4 linked regions of the Caenorhabditis elegans genome follow. The protein of the gene in region 3 purifies or fractionates together with the protein of the main gene of each other region. This does not show direct contact. Each region holds a gene or a part of one and is shown on either strand. Other genes may lie near its edges.

Region 1 (4,413 bases), on a different chromosome or scaffold from region 3:
GTCTGGCTTGAAAGCTTGGAGAAAACGGCAAACTATCTACTGAAACGAAATTAAATCAAAAAATGGCAATTGTATTGTTGAATAATTGAAAATTTGTCCAGTTGTGGAATGTTTCGCAATGCAATCAATATTTGTCCTGTCAGAGGGACGAGGGTGTAGTTTGAACGGCCATGGCCATATGGTCTGCTAAATGTTTAGCAGACCATAGCTATTTAGCAGACCCAAGCATGGTATGCTAAATATTTAGCAGACCATAGCTATTTAGCAGACCCAAGTATGGTATGCTAATTATTTATGTTAGGGACGTGAAGGACACAATAATTTAGCAGAACCAATACAAAACCTTTTTTTGTTGATAATTGTTCAATTTTAGCATTTTTTCAATATAAAATACAGGATTTTACAATAAACCTCCGAAAATTATTGAATAGAACATTATTTGAAATTTTAACGACCGGCCAGGCAGCGCTAATCGTAAGAAAGAAGGAAGTAATGTAAACAATGAATAAAAATCCTCAAATAATTATTAAGAATTGAAAAATAAGGAATAAAAATTTATTATGAACAACCCTAGATAATGAAAAACAGTGACTAGCACTTTTGTATGTAATTGAAATTCCAAAATTCCAATTTTTAGCTGAAATAACGTGGAAGCTATAGCATGGCAAGTTTAATTTTTAAATACAATCATTGCGTAAAACTGTGGTGAATTATATAAAGACATAAAAAGATTTCTGAATTAATCAATAATCAGACGCTTATTTGAAAGACTTTCGAGGGCTCTTGGTGATGGTGTGAACGCTCGGAATGCAAGAAAATCATCAGAAATATTAATCTTGGGACGTTCAGCGTCATGTGTAGCTCCAATGAAAACGACTTCTCCTCGATTCAATACTTGTGATGCATCTCCCAATGTAACTGTTGCAGTACCATAGAGAACCGTCAAGACAGAACATGATTCGGAGTAAGGAAGTTGGTAGATCGATCCAGCGGGTCCTTTGACTTCCTGCACCCAGAACTCATCAATTCCACGTGGAGTAAATAGTAGTGATCCATCGTCCAGTTCATTTGGAATATATTTTGGAAGCAGGGTCTCATCATAATTCAACATTTCAACCAATGATTCTACATCAATATATTTTGGTGTTAATCCAGCTCGAATAGTATTGTCACTGTCTGCCATACACTCAACACAATCTCCTTTCAAATAAGCATGTGGCATGTTTGGTTCTAAAAATGTTGCCTCTCCAGGTTGTAATTTGAAGTAGTTCAAGAAAATTGGAGCAAATACACCAACATCTCCAGGGTACAATGTGAAAAGGTAGACAATTATTTCATCAAGAGCCGTTTTGTTTTCTGAAATTTAGTAATTAAAAAGAAGATATTCATTCAAAAATATCGCTTACCATGTCCTTGAATTCGTCTGGCAAGTTTATCAACAACTATTTGAAGTTTTTCCTTTGGAGTTCGCCAAATTCTTGAGAAGATCTTTTTGAGAACCTGTGCAGAACTCTCTCCATAAGATCCTAAACTGTCGATTTGACTTTTCTCTTCTTCGGTGAGCAATTCTTGAATTTCAGAGTACACTGAAAAAAAGCAAATTTTAATGCTTATAATCTAATTGTGATAATTACATTTCAGATATTCACTAATTTGTGAATGTTGCCGAAATCCGGAAAGAAGCTCGAATTCAGTCAGAGCAATTGCGATCTCTGGTTTGTGGTTGTCATCTGGATAGTTCTTCGGATCTGTAGCATGAAGAAGTTTTCCTTGTTCTTTTGTTGGATGAATTTGGATTGAGAGTGGTCCAAGAACGGAAAGCACTTTGAAGAGGAATGAAAGGTTGCCTGAAAGAAATAATTAATATTTATTGACAAGGTCATGTTGTTCTTTAAGGAATTGAAATGTATCAATTGGCTTGAAATTTATGTCATTCGGAAGCTGACATCGAATTGGATATTCCTTTTTGCTGATCTCTTAACTTCCAAATTACATAAGTTTCAAGCCAGTTAGACCATTCCCAAGCCAGAACAGTAAAGAATATTTATTTTATTCACCTTTTTCATGTTTTCCCTGTAACTCTGGCGATGTAGCCAAAAGTTGTTTAAGAGCGATGTCTTTTTCGATGACGTGGGCCGGCCCGTTAGCGTGAGTTCCCACCCAGAACTGTAATAATAAAGATGATGAAAGAGAACGTGTTTCGGGAGTGATGTAGGCCGATCTGATCAGGTGATCGACGACACAATCTTCGAAAGTCACGACATAAGGTCAGAAACCACGGTAAGACGCCACAAATAGATTGAGAATCGCTTTAATTAGAACGGAAATAGATACATGTTTCATTACTCACTTCAGCGTATGGTTTGTCTTTGTCAAGATTTGGAATATGACCACCATCTAATGCAAGACTTCCAGCCATGCTAGAATTTCCTTTGGGTCCCCATGCGTAGTTATTGACAGTGCACTTTAGCTTCAGAAGCATCTGAAAACATGAATTATGGAAGAAATGTTTTGAGAGAACAGATTATGTTCGAAATATGAGTTAGGGAGAAAATAAAAGATATAATGCATCAAAATGACGGTAAACGACTGATCTCTCTAGTTTTCTCTGATCAACGCATGCGCTAAAATCGACACGTGACTAAATATAATCAGTCATAAGTTGACCATAAGACAAGAGAAAAAGACTTCCGAACTGGAAGACACGGAATACATATATATGACCGAGAGGCTCGGAGACGCAGATTGAAAACGCTGAGATCAGAACTATAAAACGAGTGCGACCGTCGACTTTTTTCATATCTTGAGTGGGTATGCGTGTGAGATTGCGTCAACGTGACTGCCTAAACTAATTGTAGAGAAAGGTCGTAAATTTTCAGACAAATCAAATGATTGTCGGAGACAGATTTATGGGTGGGATCATAAGAGAGAGATAGATCGTATTCTCGGTGATTATTTACACGATGAACGCACGCAACATGGCGACGACAACATGCGGCAAAACTGAGAAATTCCTTGATCGCTGATTTTGAAGCAGGTTAATGCCGGAAGTGGTTTTTAAATACAAAAATCGGGACATTTCTTAGCCAATGAAGGTCACAAAAGATCGAACAACAAAGTGTAAATTAATGAAAAATTATTTCAGAGAATCAGAATAGAACTTTGATGAAAGTTTATTTATTTTTGAAAGCAACAAGTTTTTTCACAAAAAATGGTTTTTACAGGCTCTATGGAAACAATGGAAAAAATGTTCCGTAGAAGTGCATGTTCTAATATTCAATAGTCGAGAACTATGAGTAAAGATGTAAATTTTATAAATTTAAATTCAAACAATACAAAATTTACAGTAGCATAAAATATTTTTAAAAAACTTTATATAAATGGCAACTAATACTCTAAAAACTTAGTCATAATGGTGGATTCATTTCTACTGAGACTGATGTTCCATAAAGTGTGATGCAGGCGTGCTCTACTAAACTCCTCCTAATGTTTTTTTGTTGTTTTTTCAATTGCCACTGTTTTTTTTTCTAATTTCAATAAAACTGAATCCTTTTTAAATTGTTTTTTTCAGAAATGCTAAGCACATTAAGCTTTCTAATACATGGGGAACAAAATGTGCAACAGTGCCAAACAATATCAGATTTGGAGTGTCTCTATCTGATCAATAAAAATCAGCCCTTACGAGACTCAAACGGGAATCCTGTAGGTTTGACAATTCTTCAAAAGAAACATCTTGGAGCTCAATTCAAAATTTCAGTTGACAGCTCACGAATTGACGGATGATTTGAATGAACGGCTGGTTACTCTAAAGCTAGAAGCATTTCGCCCGGTTGTCTCTGAAGTCCTAGGTATACATCTATAGTTTAAAGCAATTTTTGTTTGAGTTTAAATATTTTTAGATCAGCTGGAAGAACAGGATGATGCTCTCCACTATTTTGTGCTGGTCGCAACTTCCCGGTTGTCAGATGAGGATTTTGAGAATAGCTTGAAAGAAGTCTCGTTGTCCCAAAAATTGGTAAATTTTTATTTTCACAAATTTTGTAAGGTTTTTCTCGAGAAATCTTCTAGAAAACTGCTCATTTTTATATTTTTCAATCCCAGAATAAATTAATTCAAATTACAGATGGTACGAATCGATGGTGAATATAAATACAGATTATATTCAAAACCAATTGTACGAAATAACATTCCACAATTAGCATGGGATATTTCTCCAGCACTGAGAACACGCAAAGTGGCAGAAAAAGATGAGATATCACCACGTAAGAAATACTAAAAATGTTTTTTAAAATAACACTATGAAATTTCAGCAAACAATACAGCGAATGTATATCCAGTTGATGATTGGGGATTGATTTCACGGGAATTCAGATCTATTCTCTCATGTGAAGAGCTCATTTTAAGTGCTCGAGA
Region 2 (3,249 bases), on a different chromosome or scaffold from region 3:
AGGTGGATTTTTCAAACTTTGAAAATTCATAAATCTCTTCAAAGTAATTTTTTTTGAAATGACTTTAAGAAACTTTGTAGTAAATTTTAAGCTCTTTCAGAATATATTAACAATATTTCAGTAGGTACAAGAAGCTTCACGTAGTTACAGAAATAGTACATTTTCAGCCCTACCTTTTAGTGCGTATTTTATTAGTTAATGAAAACTACCATTAATAGGCAAAAATAGATGGATTTTCCAAACTTTGAAAATTCATAAATCTCTTCAAAGTAATTTTTTTTGAAATGACTTTCAGAAACTTTGTAGTAAATTTTAAGCTCTTTTAGAATATATTAACAATATTTCAGTAGGTACAAGAAGCTTCACGTAGTTACAGAAATAGTACATTTTCAGCCCCACCTTTTAGTGCGTATTTTATTATTCAAAAAAACTACCATTTATAAGCAGGAGATCCTCTGTTGACGTTAGCACACTCTTCACTATGCGAAATCAATTTAGAAGACTGCGTCTAAATTCCCGCAATTTTCGAAGATCAAACCGAGATGGGACATTCTGACACTACGTGCACAGTTGATCGTTTGTTAATATGGCCTGGTTTTTCCGCGTAGGTTTCGATGCTTTTTTCAGTTCATGATTGCACAAATTTGTTACATTTATGCATCCATCGAACGAAATTAAACCTAAATCAACAAATAAACTACCAAATATAGAGGGTAATTATTTATATTTATGAAAGTGGAGTTCAGGTCGCTGCGAGACTGTAAAGTTGGTAAAGTGTTAGATTCTGGCGGAACATTCCCTTTTTCCAAATCTTTGAAGCCTCCTAACTTCGCCTTATTGCGAGAACACTAAATTCTGAGAATACGTATTGCGCAACCTATTTGACGCGCAAAATGTCTTGTAGCGAAAACTACAATAATTATTTAAATGGCTACTGTAGAACTTGTGGCGATTTACGGGCTTGACTCTCGAAACGAATTTCAGTTTGAAGTATGACAGCAATTTTAATTTTCGTCCATTTTTTGAGACCCGAAGAACTCGGGGGATGTCCAATTGGGGGGATTACCAACTCGGGGGATTGGCCCCGCCCACAGAACCGTGGCTTGCAATACGCCCATTTCTGCCGCACGGTTTTTCATAACTGCCGCACGGTTTTAAAATTATTTTTTCTTGTTATTTCTCGCTCTATTGAGAAAAATACAGTTTTAAAACCGTGCGGCAGTTGCAGAAATGGGCGTATTGCAAGCCACGGTTCTGTGGGCGGGGCCAATCCCCCGAGTTGGTAATCCCCCCAATTGGACATCCCCCGAGTTCTTCGGGTCTCAGACTTCTGAACTTTTCGCATGGTTAAGAACGTGCTGTCGTAACACTTTTTGTATATTTCTATTAAACATCGTTTTTTATGCTGGATAGCTGTTTTATTTCTAATAATAAAAATTGAAAATATCTAACTAGCATTCAATTTCAGATGATACAGCGAAGAATGACCCTGAAAATATTAGCTAGGAGACATATTACAACTTAAAACATACGAAATGTAAATTTGTTTCCGATTATCAACAAAATTGTACATTTTAACGATATTTTTATCAATAAAGACTAATTTTTACATATAAATGTTAATTTAAAGCAAATCCGTGACTTGACGTGATGGTGTTTGCACACTTTTCACCACAATATACGACATTCAAGTTATATGCATTTTTTTCAAATGATTCTATCCTTTCTTTTCAGTATTCTTTACGGTTTTATTGATCAATTTGTCACCAGTATAATCGATCATGTTTTATTTCTCAATAATTGTAAAACAATTTTTCAGATATCGGCCCAAAAATGCCCGTAGACTCGAAAAAATTGGTCAAAAAAGCTTGTCAGCACATAAAACCAGTTGAGAAATTCGAATGCGAGACACAAAGAAGTACTACAACTGATGGGTAGGATCTTTGAATGATTTTCAAATTAATCTTTATTATTTTCAGCGAAACTATCAAATTCGATTACATGTGGGCGACACATTTGAGTGATGAAGACTTCGAGTGGGTGTTCAGTTTATTCAAAGAGAACATGTACGATATGTATCACAAATCCCAGTGGGGATACGATGAAAATTCCAAGCGAAACGAACTTCGTGCAACAACATCAAGGTTCATCATCGCGAAGAATTCGAAAGGGGATAAAATTGGCTATACCACTTATCGATTTGTGGTCGATCACAACATTCCTGTGGCATATTGTTGGGAACTTCAAATTGTACCGGCTTATCAGAACAAAGGAATCGGTGGCATGATGCTCGACACGCTGGAAAAGCTCTCTTCAAAGTACAGTTTCAATTAATTCGAGAGCCAATAAACAAAAACTCTTATTTTCAGGACAAACATGAGTAAAGTCATGGCAACAGTTTTTCTGTATAATGGACCGTCGCTCGGCTTCTTTCACAAACATGGATACAACAGCGACGTGACGTGCCCATCCGATGATTCTGGTCTGGATTATGCGATCCTGTCGAAAGAGACACCGAGCACATAAGAATATTAAATTCTGATTCTATGATTTTCTAATTTGTTATCATCTTCATTCTGGCTTAATTGTTACATGTATTTTTTTTTGGGTAAACAAACGTTTTTTATATTTCTACTTTTATAATATTGTGTCGTAAAAACCGTTACTTTTCGTTCAAATATTTATTTTCAAACCAAAATATAAACATTTTTGTAATAATCTTTGTAGATGCCTCATCCTTGGAACACTGCCGATGCATTAGACGATAGTCGGGTACAAGTTGAGCACATTGATTTAGTTCCTCCAAAGTATGCAAATGTACTCAACTTCAGATCTATTAAAACTAGAGATTATTATTTTGGTAAACCATGTTCTGGGCAATTAAATATTTCAATAACTTTTCTTCAGCAATGAGAGATCGTCATCAGCAGTTGGGCGCAGTCACATCTTCAAAAGCTGAAACTGACAAATTGAATAAACACTGTGAGGAGAACACGATAATGGTGGATCAAGACGGAGTAGAAACTCCAGCTGATTATGGAACAGAGAGGATGGTTGCACATGCAATAGAAGATCACCGACTTGCCGCCAATTTGCAACGAATAAAAGTTCATATTCTGAATGCAGTTCAACAAAAATCAATTCAAGCTATTCGTGACCGCCGAGGACTTCTAGTGGATGCTCCAACTGGAATCGGGAAGACTTATGCGTTTCTTATTCCGGCGATTGAAATTGCATTGAGGGAGCGAC
Region 3 (6,037 bases):
CTCCCAATTTCCTCTCACTTTCTCTAGCAGAATCTGCGTGTCTTTCTGCTTCTAAATGTCGTCTTGCACGTGCCATATTTGCAGCAATCTCTTCTCTTACACTAGGCTCACGTCTTCCATCAAGAGCTCTTTCGGAGCCACGTAGATTATATCCCATGTCACGGAGTTCAATCATTTCAACGTCCAGTGGAGGTTCTGAAAATTGGCTAGTTCTGGTTTAGTTTTTAAGGTTTTTATGAAAACCGATGATCGAATTAGTTGAAAAAAAAATCAACCACTTTCAGAATTTTGAATACATGTAGCATGGCAGAAGAAAACTTTTTTTTCGAAAAAAAAACACTTTTTGAACATTTTTCTGTTAATTATTCGGGGTTTCTTGATTTATAATTTTTTTTTGCAATTTGATTTGGAGCGTGTTTTCCGAAATTTTCAGGCATTCAAATCAAGCAGTTGTTTTATGATTTTTTCTATATTTTACACTTTTTTAATAACTAGAATTTAAATAAAAACTTACGTTCTGATTCTCTGTACAATTCATCCACTGAATCATTGATTGTTCTTGTAACCACAACTGGATCTGTTGTATCAAAAATCATATGCAGATAGGCGACAACACTCTGAATATTAAAATATACATAATTTTCAAACGTTTCTGAAATTTACCTTAATAACAGTGAAAAAGAAAACAATAAATCCAGTATATGAAGCAGCAAATACAAGTGAGACACCTTGAGAAGCGACAAATCCAAGGATAAGGGGAAGAATAATAAGTATAAACCATACGTAGAGATGCATTGTGTTGCAGAATATTGAAAAACCCGGTTCATAGTACCTGGAAAATTTTGAATATATTGGAATTTAGCTAAAGAAAATCAATAATTTAATTCTATAAAAAAACGAAGCAATTTAATCAATTTTTAGAGAAACTTTATGAACCTGTTTTCAACGAAAAAACTTTTTTATTGTTTTAAAATGAATACTAACCATCCACCAGTGAGCGATGCCCAAATACCCTGTCGAATAACCTCGATGATGTGTGTGCCAACACTCATCGTGGCGGCTCGAGAGCTTCAGACTCCAAAATCGCTCGATTTTCTCCGGTTTTACTCTGCAAAAATCGATATTTCTAATGTATTTCTGGTTTTGTTCGGCAGAAAACTAAAAATCAATCAAAATTCAAGCGAAAAGGCTTTTCAAAAAGTGAAAATCAATGAAATGTGAGCAAAAGCGAGCAAGCTGAAAAAACAGAAAAACAGACGACAATGTACGCAAACACCGTGTGTGACGCGCATTTGCGGACTCGGAAAAACTTTTTTTGGCAGGCACAGAAAGTGGAATATCATGCTGAAAAGATGAAAATAATGATAATTGCAATTGGAAACATATGTAAAAATGTTTTTAAAAATTTTTATTTGAAAAATTGAGTATGTTTAATGCGCAACTTCGGTTTAACTTAAGGATGTTCAAAAAGTGAATTTTTATTCTATTTACACAGAATGACTTATTATGTATCCTCTGATGAATGTCTTGTTGTTACGGAGGAGATTTGTCTTTTCGATATGTTTCCTGGAAATTTTACTATTTTTTTTTCAAACTTGAATCAAAAGTTGTTGTAAAAGCTTGATTTTGTTTATAAAATTACGCAACAAATTAAGATGCGTCTTGTATACAAGGTTAATAGATGAAATAAGGTATTTACAATTGAAAAGTATACAGAAAGTTTCGGAAAGTTCCAGAAATTTCTAATTAGCTCTAGAAACTATCGAGAAATATTTGTTTGATAGGAAAAGTAACTAATATTCAGTTGAATAAACATAAAGTTCCAAAAAATATTATAAAACTACGAGAAAGTTGCTTTTTAGTTGTTACAATGTTTTGGAAATCTACAAATCAATTTTTCCGAAATCCAAATTCTCACAACCTCTTCTCCATTTTTCTCTACATAATGACCCTCTAATACCGTTCGTCTTCCCGCTCGGGTCACTCGGAATTGAACAAGGTCGTCATGTTCAGTCACTTTCCTTTGTGTCTCGGAATCTCTTGTGTCTGTGGAAAGGAATACATATCCTCCATATTCTTGTATTATAATAAGTGGTTGTCACTGTCTCATACAGTCCACTCGTATTTCACCATATGACACCTTTATTCATATTCTTAGTTCTACTAACTTCACAAGGTAGCTTTTTTTTATCCAAGGAATATGTCTACCAACCGACAGAAATTTAAATTTGCTCCATTTTGAAACGGTATATCTCAATTCATTTTGTAGATATCAATTAAAATTAATTACAAAACTATAGAAAAAGAATTAGAAATTATTTCTTCAGTTGAAATTTTTTTCACTAAACAAAAGACAACTGAGATATGAGCAACCAAAGTTGACCAATGGGATGCAGCACTGATTGAGAATGTACAGTCTACTACTTGAAAATCACTTTAGCCAATCGGACCCAAAAAAACCCAAAATTCATATTGAGGCCGTTCAAAAATTGCTCAATAATTGAATATTTTGTGGACTATCTATATATAGAACCTGTCATTTGATAGGAAACCTTATGAATGAGTCCATATAGAAAATTTCTGGAGAACTTTGAACTTGGAACAGTAGATCTTAAAATTATTCAGGTCATTAATTGTGTTTCCCAAAGTATTTTGATGGGTGGAAAAGTTTCTAATTTTTCACAAGTTTTTAAAAATTTTCTAGAAAATCTGCTTACTAAGTTGCCCTGTGTGTACAATTTGCAAAAAATGCGAATTCACGGGCCTCTACTGAATTTCAGATTAAATTTGTATTTGAAGTTTTTTTCCAGTTCTTGGTGGTCTGAACAATGGAGCATCCTCGAAGAATGTAGGTGGGAGAAGGCAGCCAACTGGTGGAGGAGGACTTGATGAAAATATTCCTGTAATTGAAATTCGAGGAGAAGGAGCTCCGATGAGCTCAGCTCAAATTAGACATTTAGAGGAGATGGATAATGGTGGTCCATTGGATATTAAGGTGAGTTTTATGTGTATAATTACGCTTACTTGGAGTTTCCTACTTATTGTAACTAGGTACTACCCGGGACACAACTTACCCCTTTTTCCAAAAACATCTGTGTTTCCATCACATAACTAAATTAAAAAAAAATAAATGTAAGGTTTTGATACCTGCAAATTTGATTTTAATGATTCAAAATAACTGCATTTCCAGTGCGACTCAACTTCTTTCAAAAACAACAGTCAAGTTTTCAGATCGAAAAAACGTTTGTGCCAGCCAAGTGCCCTCAACAAGCAAAACGACTGGACTTTGTAACTTTCCATTACAAGGTAACAAATGCACACTTCTGAAAACATTTTTGATTTCAATTTCCAGGTGTTCACAGAAGATAACAAAAAAGTATATCAAACATATGGAACTGGTCCAGTCACAATTCAACTTGGAACTGGAATGATTATGCCAGGACTTGATAAGGTGAGCATTTTAAATATTCTACCGTATTTCCTATATTAGTTTTGAATCCCTTTGCTCAACTTTTACAAATCATATCTCAGTAGTCGTTTGTTCTATAGAAAAGTTGTAAACTGATAAAATTTTTGTGAGATATTTTTCTATAGTTTGTAGTTTATTAATTATTTAAAGGTTCAAAACAAAATGAAATATGAGCTGCCAAAGTTGAGCAAAGGGGTGAAAACTAATAGAGGAAATACGGTATTTGAATGCTTAGCACCAGGTTTTATGTGTTCTCCGGTTTGGCTAAAGTTGAGTAAACCGGTTTCCCTGTTTATGTTCGTTCGAAATAGTTATTCTTGACAAGTAACCTACTTTGCTTGTTTTCTTGAGAAAAATGAAATGATTGATGGAACAATTTTTTGTTTTGTAAATTTTCCACCACGGCCGCCAGTTTAAAAAATGAAAATGTACCAATAATATAAACAAACAAGCAAACGCAGCATTTAGGCTCGAGGAAGGCAGCCTACAAACTTACCTATGCCTCAAGTTAGGCAAAGTTGTTCCAAAGCCTGAAAACTTGCCAAGATGCGCGCTGACCTAGCTTGCCTATCTAAGATCCTACCTCTGCCTACGTGCCTGCCTACGTGCCTGCCTACCTACTTGCCTAGCCATGCCCACGCAAAGTCTAAAGCTGTGTTTGCCTCTGCGTTCACCTGCCTATGCGATTGCCTTTTTACATACCTGCCTATACACTTGCCTACCTGTCAATGTTTGCCTGAATATGCCTCACCATACCTGCCTACTTACTTGTGTGCCTACCAGACTATAGCCTGAAACCATGCCAAACGCAGATTTTAATCAATTCTATAAAAAGCAAAATGCTGATTCTCTCGAAAATTTTATTTGAAAAACCTATTTTTTGAATATTTGAAGTGAAATCACAACCATTGAAAGTTCACTTTCAGAAAAAAAAAACAGTCAAATATCTATTTTTATTTCCAGGGTCTGAAAGGAATGTGTGCAGAAGAGCTTCGAAAAGTCCGTGTACCATATCGTATGAGCAGAAAGAGCAAGAGCAAGGTGTGGAAAAATATACCGAATGATGAAAACTGGCTGATTTTTAACATTGAAATGGTCGAGATCAAGCCATACACCCCAGAGATTCAGTTTAAATTTTTGGATTTGAATGAGGATGAACAGTTGACAAATAAAGAGGTTCAAGATTTCCAAAAGAAAATGAAAAAAGAATTTGGAAAGACATGGAAGAATGAGGATATTGACAATGTCACTGCTGCTGGTTATTATATCAAGTAGGTTATGCATATTTATTATTTGATGGATTCTCAAATTACTGGAGATTTTTATTTCAGAAACTTATTTTACATAGATAAATTAAAAACATTCCAGATATTTCGATGTGAATGGAGATGGAATTGTGACAGAAGTTGAATGGCTGAAAATTATGGATCGAGATGAGAAACTTATCAATGATAAGAAAACAAAAGAAAAGGGACGAAAGAGAGATCCTGGAATTGGATGGATTTTGGATTTTGATAATGACGGAATTGTTTCTTATAAGGTTTGTGGAGAACTGTTTTGCTTTAAAAAAAGTTTCAAATAAAAGATAATTTAATTTTCAGGAAAATGATGAAGCTGCTGATCGATTTGATGCAGGGCCAACACTTTTGCCAATGGAATCAAAGGATGAACTCTAATAAATTAAATTTCGTTTTGTTGACTAATAAAATAACTGTTTTGAAGTTGATATAATAGTTGTAGTAATTTTTTGTAGAGTCGGACCTTTACGGGAAAACCTTTTTGTAAATTTCTAACCCAAAAACATTCGATTCAAAGTTTTCCAATAACTATCATGAAAAGGAAGTAAATTCTATGAAAAAATATGAAGAAAAATAGAAATTGGAAATCAATCTGTAGTGCCTTGTCGTGTCTCAAAGTCTATGAAAAATTGATAAAAGTCTGTATGTGGTGTTTTAATTGTCTTGTTTATCAATAATTTTTCTGAACAATTTATTATTATTATTATGATTGAACCGGGCAAATTCCAACATTTCCCGTGCTTAATAAACTCCGAAAATTTTGATGTTATGTCTTTTGGATCACCAAAATCAGTTCCGTGTAGTAAAAAACGTAACAAAAACGTGTTTTCCCAATTTGAACATTTTTAGCTTGTTAAAAACTTGACTAAAAATGAAAATTCATTTCTTTCAAAACAAGGCTAATACATATGTAAGTCTCCAGAAACTGTTCGGTTTTGTGAACAATCTGGATTCATTTTGGCAAATCCTTTGCAACAATCATCCGAAGCTGAAGATCCCAGAAACAATCAGAATGGACACACATTCGATTCGGAAGTTGATGGAAATCTACTTTTAATGGCTTCTGGCACCTGAAAATGAAATATTAACTGAATTAAAACGGAAATAGGTATATTACACAGAACATTGGAAGCAAGTGGGATGCCACGTGGAATTCAGCGCCTCACAAAAGTTGGTCTTGATGAACTCGCCACAACCTGGATATTTATAGGGTTTCTGAAGTTTCGGAAGCTTTAGATACCTTTGCAAATAGGACGAGTCGTCTTGATAT
Region 4 (2,586 bases), on a different chromosome or scaffold from region 3:
CACTAACAAGTCACGGAAGTAACTACACTCCAACACCTGGATCTCCACAAGGATCCAATCCGATCTATTCCCGAATCAATGGAGCATCTTCCACATCGTCAAATCTTTACGGAGTTGCTTCCAAAGAAAGTCAATATGCTGACAGGACACTTCAAAAAGCACCGATCAAATCTACAACAGTGACGACTGGAAATACAATACTTCGTTCCGTGAACGGAACAGATGACACTGTATCAAGCTTTTCTCGTCCACCCACTGGAGCACTTAACCAAAATGACTTTGCTACCAGCATTGTGTGAATATTTGTTTTACATTTTTGGTAGGTCTTAATTCAAAAGTAACTAGAAATGTTTACAAATTCAAAATTTTCAAACGGAATGATTGCAACTCTGAAATATAGAAATCATCAAAAAAATTGAAACAATTGAAAGCGATATCATAACTATCTGCATCGAATTATGAAAAAAAAACCGAGATATTTTACTATTAATTTACAAAAATGTTATGATTCACCGTATTTCCTCTATTAGTATTGCATTACCCTTTAAATAGAAATAAGGAACACGATTAAACCGAAATTGTATATCATGTAACCTGATCATGTAAGCCTAATAAAATTAGTTCAGAAAACGGTTTCAAAGCCCATATAATTTTAGGATGAAATTGATAAGTTTCACTGTTCACAGAGTTTGCATTCTTAACTTTTGACAAAGATACATTTTACAGGAACCCTACTGATCCCGATGAACTATTCCCCCAATTAACACATGAACCAAATCAACTCCGTGACAATGCACTTCTTCTCGCCAAACACTTAAACAGTTAACCGCCAAACAAACACATCATCCCACTATAATTGTTGAAATTCATTTTTTATTTTTCTCTATAATTTCGGTCTTGATTTGCAAATTGCTGAAAACGGACTGAATTCTACTGTTTATGGAACAATTTCCTCGCCACTTTCTTTGATTTTCGACCCTTGTAAGTAAGCGCGTAATAATTGCCTCCCGCATTTTTATGTATAACTGATAATTTCTTCTTACGTTTTTCTACTCCTCCTCCCTTTTTTCATGTCACCCCACACCAAAAATCATCAAAAATCGTTTCCTTTGTTACTGTACTATATTCCCGTTGGATATCGGGTACATTTCTTTGAATTTCCACAATTTCTCTGAACATTTTGTCATAATTCGTTTTATTGTTTGTCAACCCCATTTGACCACATTCTTTGTTTCAATATTTTCTTTCTCAGATTTTATTGAAATCAAATTTCAAAAAAAAAAAATCACTAATAAAGAGCAAACAAATTTAAAAGTATCAAGGAATATAAGAATATGTTATTGAAATATGATGTAAACAGTTTTATCTCAAATAGAGTTTTATAATCAGACAGAGTAAAGAACTCAAAGATTCCGGATTATCGGGTTATCAGTGGGTTATAAAAGTGGGCGGGACAGTGTCATGCGATTCAAGTTTTCGTCGGGCTGAGCACTTAAAATTTCCTTGTTGAAAGTCTGTATAAAATGAACGAGACAATCGTTATGATAACAGCACTTTAACTCTTCCCTTATCTTTCGGAATTTTCATTCATTTCATTCATGACAAACTTGCAGACTGCTGATTTCTTGATAAGGTTAGAATGTCGTTTTTATATTATTTTCTTTTTAGAATGAAGACCACCTTCTGCCTTCTGGCCCTTGTCGCCGTCGCTACCGCTTTGGCTCTCCCAAGCCAACAGGACAATGCCATGAGCTGCCTCATGTGCGAGGTCGGAGTCCGTGCTGCTGAAAACCCAGCTGACAGAGAAGCTCACACCGTTGAGGACGTAAGTAGTCAAACTGTTCGTTTGGTCATTATAGTGAATATGATTTTAGAAATTTGACGCCGAATGCAAGAAGGAACTTGGAATCATTCCATTTGCCGAGAAGGAATGTGAGAAGTACGGAAACTCCAAGCTTGACCCCATCATCAACGAGCTCGAGGGAGGAACTGCTCCAGAAGATGTCTGCAAAAAGCTCAAGGAGTGCTAATTCTTTATGTTTCTTTTTCTTCTGATAAAGTGTGAATGACCTTTGAAATTGTTTATTCAGATATGAACTTCAAATTGTCAAATATCAGCGCGCCTGAAACTGATAAATCTCACTAACTCTGAACAAAACTGACTTTTCGTGAGAGGAAGAGCAAAGTTAACTACAGTGGCAATCAAAGCTATAGACGTTGACTACCAAAAAGTGTCGATTCGGCTCTAACGTGACAACTTCTTGTTAGCTCCAAATTGAAAGCTGAAATAAACTTTTTTCGTATAAGGTTATCAGGTTATTTTCTACGCAAGTGTAGCTTGAATTGTAACAATTCAAGCCTACATATGTCAAAAATTAATAAACCGCGTTTAAAATAAAATTTTACCTAAACATTTAAATCTGAAAGATGAAGTAAACTCCGATGATCAATGTTTTTTTTCAGTAAACGTTTGAATTTTTTCACGTTCTTTGGTTGAAAATTTGAATCAAACGATTTTAATAAATCTCGACAAAACTTTGTCAGTGAATGCATTTATCTTTTGAAACAGGCAGAGGTTGTCCTGTT

What was found.
Region 1: the proteins of fkb-7 (region 3) and ZK632.4 fractionate together in Caenorhabditis elegans (co-fractionation; one large-scale study listed by BioGRID). This does not show direct contact.
Region 2: the proteins of fkb-7 (region 3) and Y38A10A.7 fractionate together in Caenorhabditis elegans (co-fractionation; one large-scale study listed by BioGRID). This does not show direct contact.
Region 4: the proteins of fkb-7 (region 3) and spp-14 fractionate together in Caenorhabditis elegans (co-fractionation; one large-scale study listed by BioGRID). This does not show direct contact.

What each region holds. Positions count from the first base shown.
Region 1 is NC_003281.10:9,804,973-9,809,385, forward strand, and holds ZK632.4 (putative mannose-6-phosphate isomerase), read right to left. Parts: upstream 2,483-4,413; coding exon 2,351-2,482; intron 2,167-2,350; coding exon 2,058-2,166; intron 1,848-2,057; coding exon 1,635-1,847; intron 1,587-1,634; coding exon 1,407-1,586; intron 1,357-1,406; coding exon 740-1,356; 3' UTR 543-739; downstream 1-542. Other genes in the region: gtap-2 (Gamma-Tubulin Associating Protein), read left to right, coding at 3,574-3,702, 3,758-3,848, 3,900-4,015, 4,124-4,262, 4,311-4,413. UniProt on the Caenorhabditis elegans protein: Involved in the synthesis of the GDP-mannose and dolichol-phosphate-mannose required for a number of critical mannosyl transfer reactions.
Region 2 is NC_003283.11:6,094,378-6,097,626, forward strand, and holds Y38A10A.7 (N-alpha-acetyltransferase 40), read left to right. Parts: upstream 1-1,819; 5' UTR 1,820-1,833; coding exon 1,834-1,934; intron 1,935-1,979; coding exon 1,980-2,318; intron 2,319-2,369; coding exon 2,370-2,526; 3' UTR 2,527-2,716; downstream 2,717-3,249. Other genes in the region: smut-1 (Synthetic MUTator), read left to right, coding at 2,728-2,860, 2,908-3,249.
Region 3 is NC_003279.8:10,665,826-10,671,862, forward strand, and holds fkb-7 (peptidylprolyl isomerase), read left to right. Parts: upstream 1-1,982; 5' UTR 1,983-2,133; coding exon 2,134-2,176; intron 2,177-2,810; coding exon 2,811-2,995; intron 2,996-3,231; coding exon 3,232-3,306; intron 3,307-3,352; coding exon 3,353-3,451; intron 3,452-4,042; exon of another isoform or gene 4,043-4,192; intron 4,193-4,432; coding exon 4,433-4,740; intron 4,741-4,837; coding exon 4,838-5,009; intron 5,010-5,070; coding exon 5,071-5,145; 3' UTR 5,146-5,532; downstream 5,533-6,037. Other genes in the region: B0511.12 (Pecanex-like protein), read right to left, coding at 19-195, 515-617, 664-832, 985-1,052; C34B2.4 (LIM zinc-binding domain-containing protein), read right to left, coding at 5,720-5,837, 5,885-5,963, 6,008-6,037.
Region 4 is NC_003284.9:7,724,311-7,726,896, forward strand, and holds spp-14 (Saposin B-type domain-containing protein), read left to right. Parts: upstream 1-1,668; 5' UTR 1,669-1,669; coding exon 1,670-1,825; intron 1,826-1,874; coding exon 1,875-2,030; 3' UTR 2,031-2,073; downstream 2,074-2,586. Other genes in the region: K09F5.6 (Protein tincar), read left to right, coding at 1-299.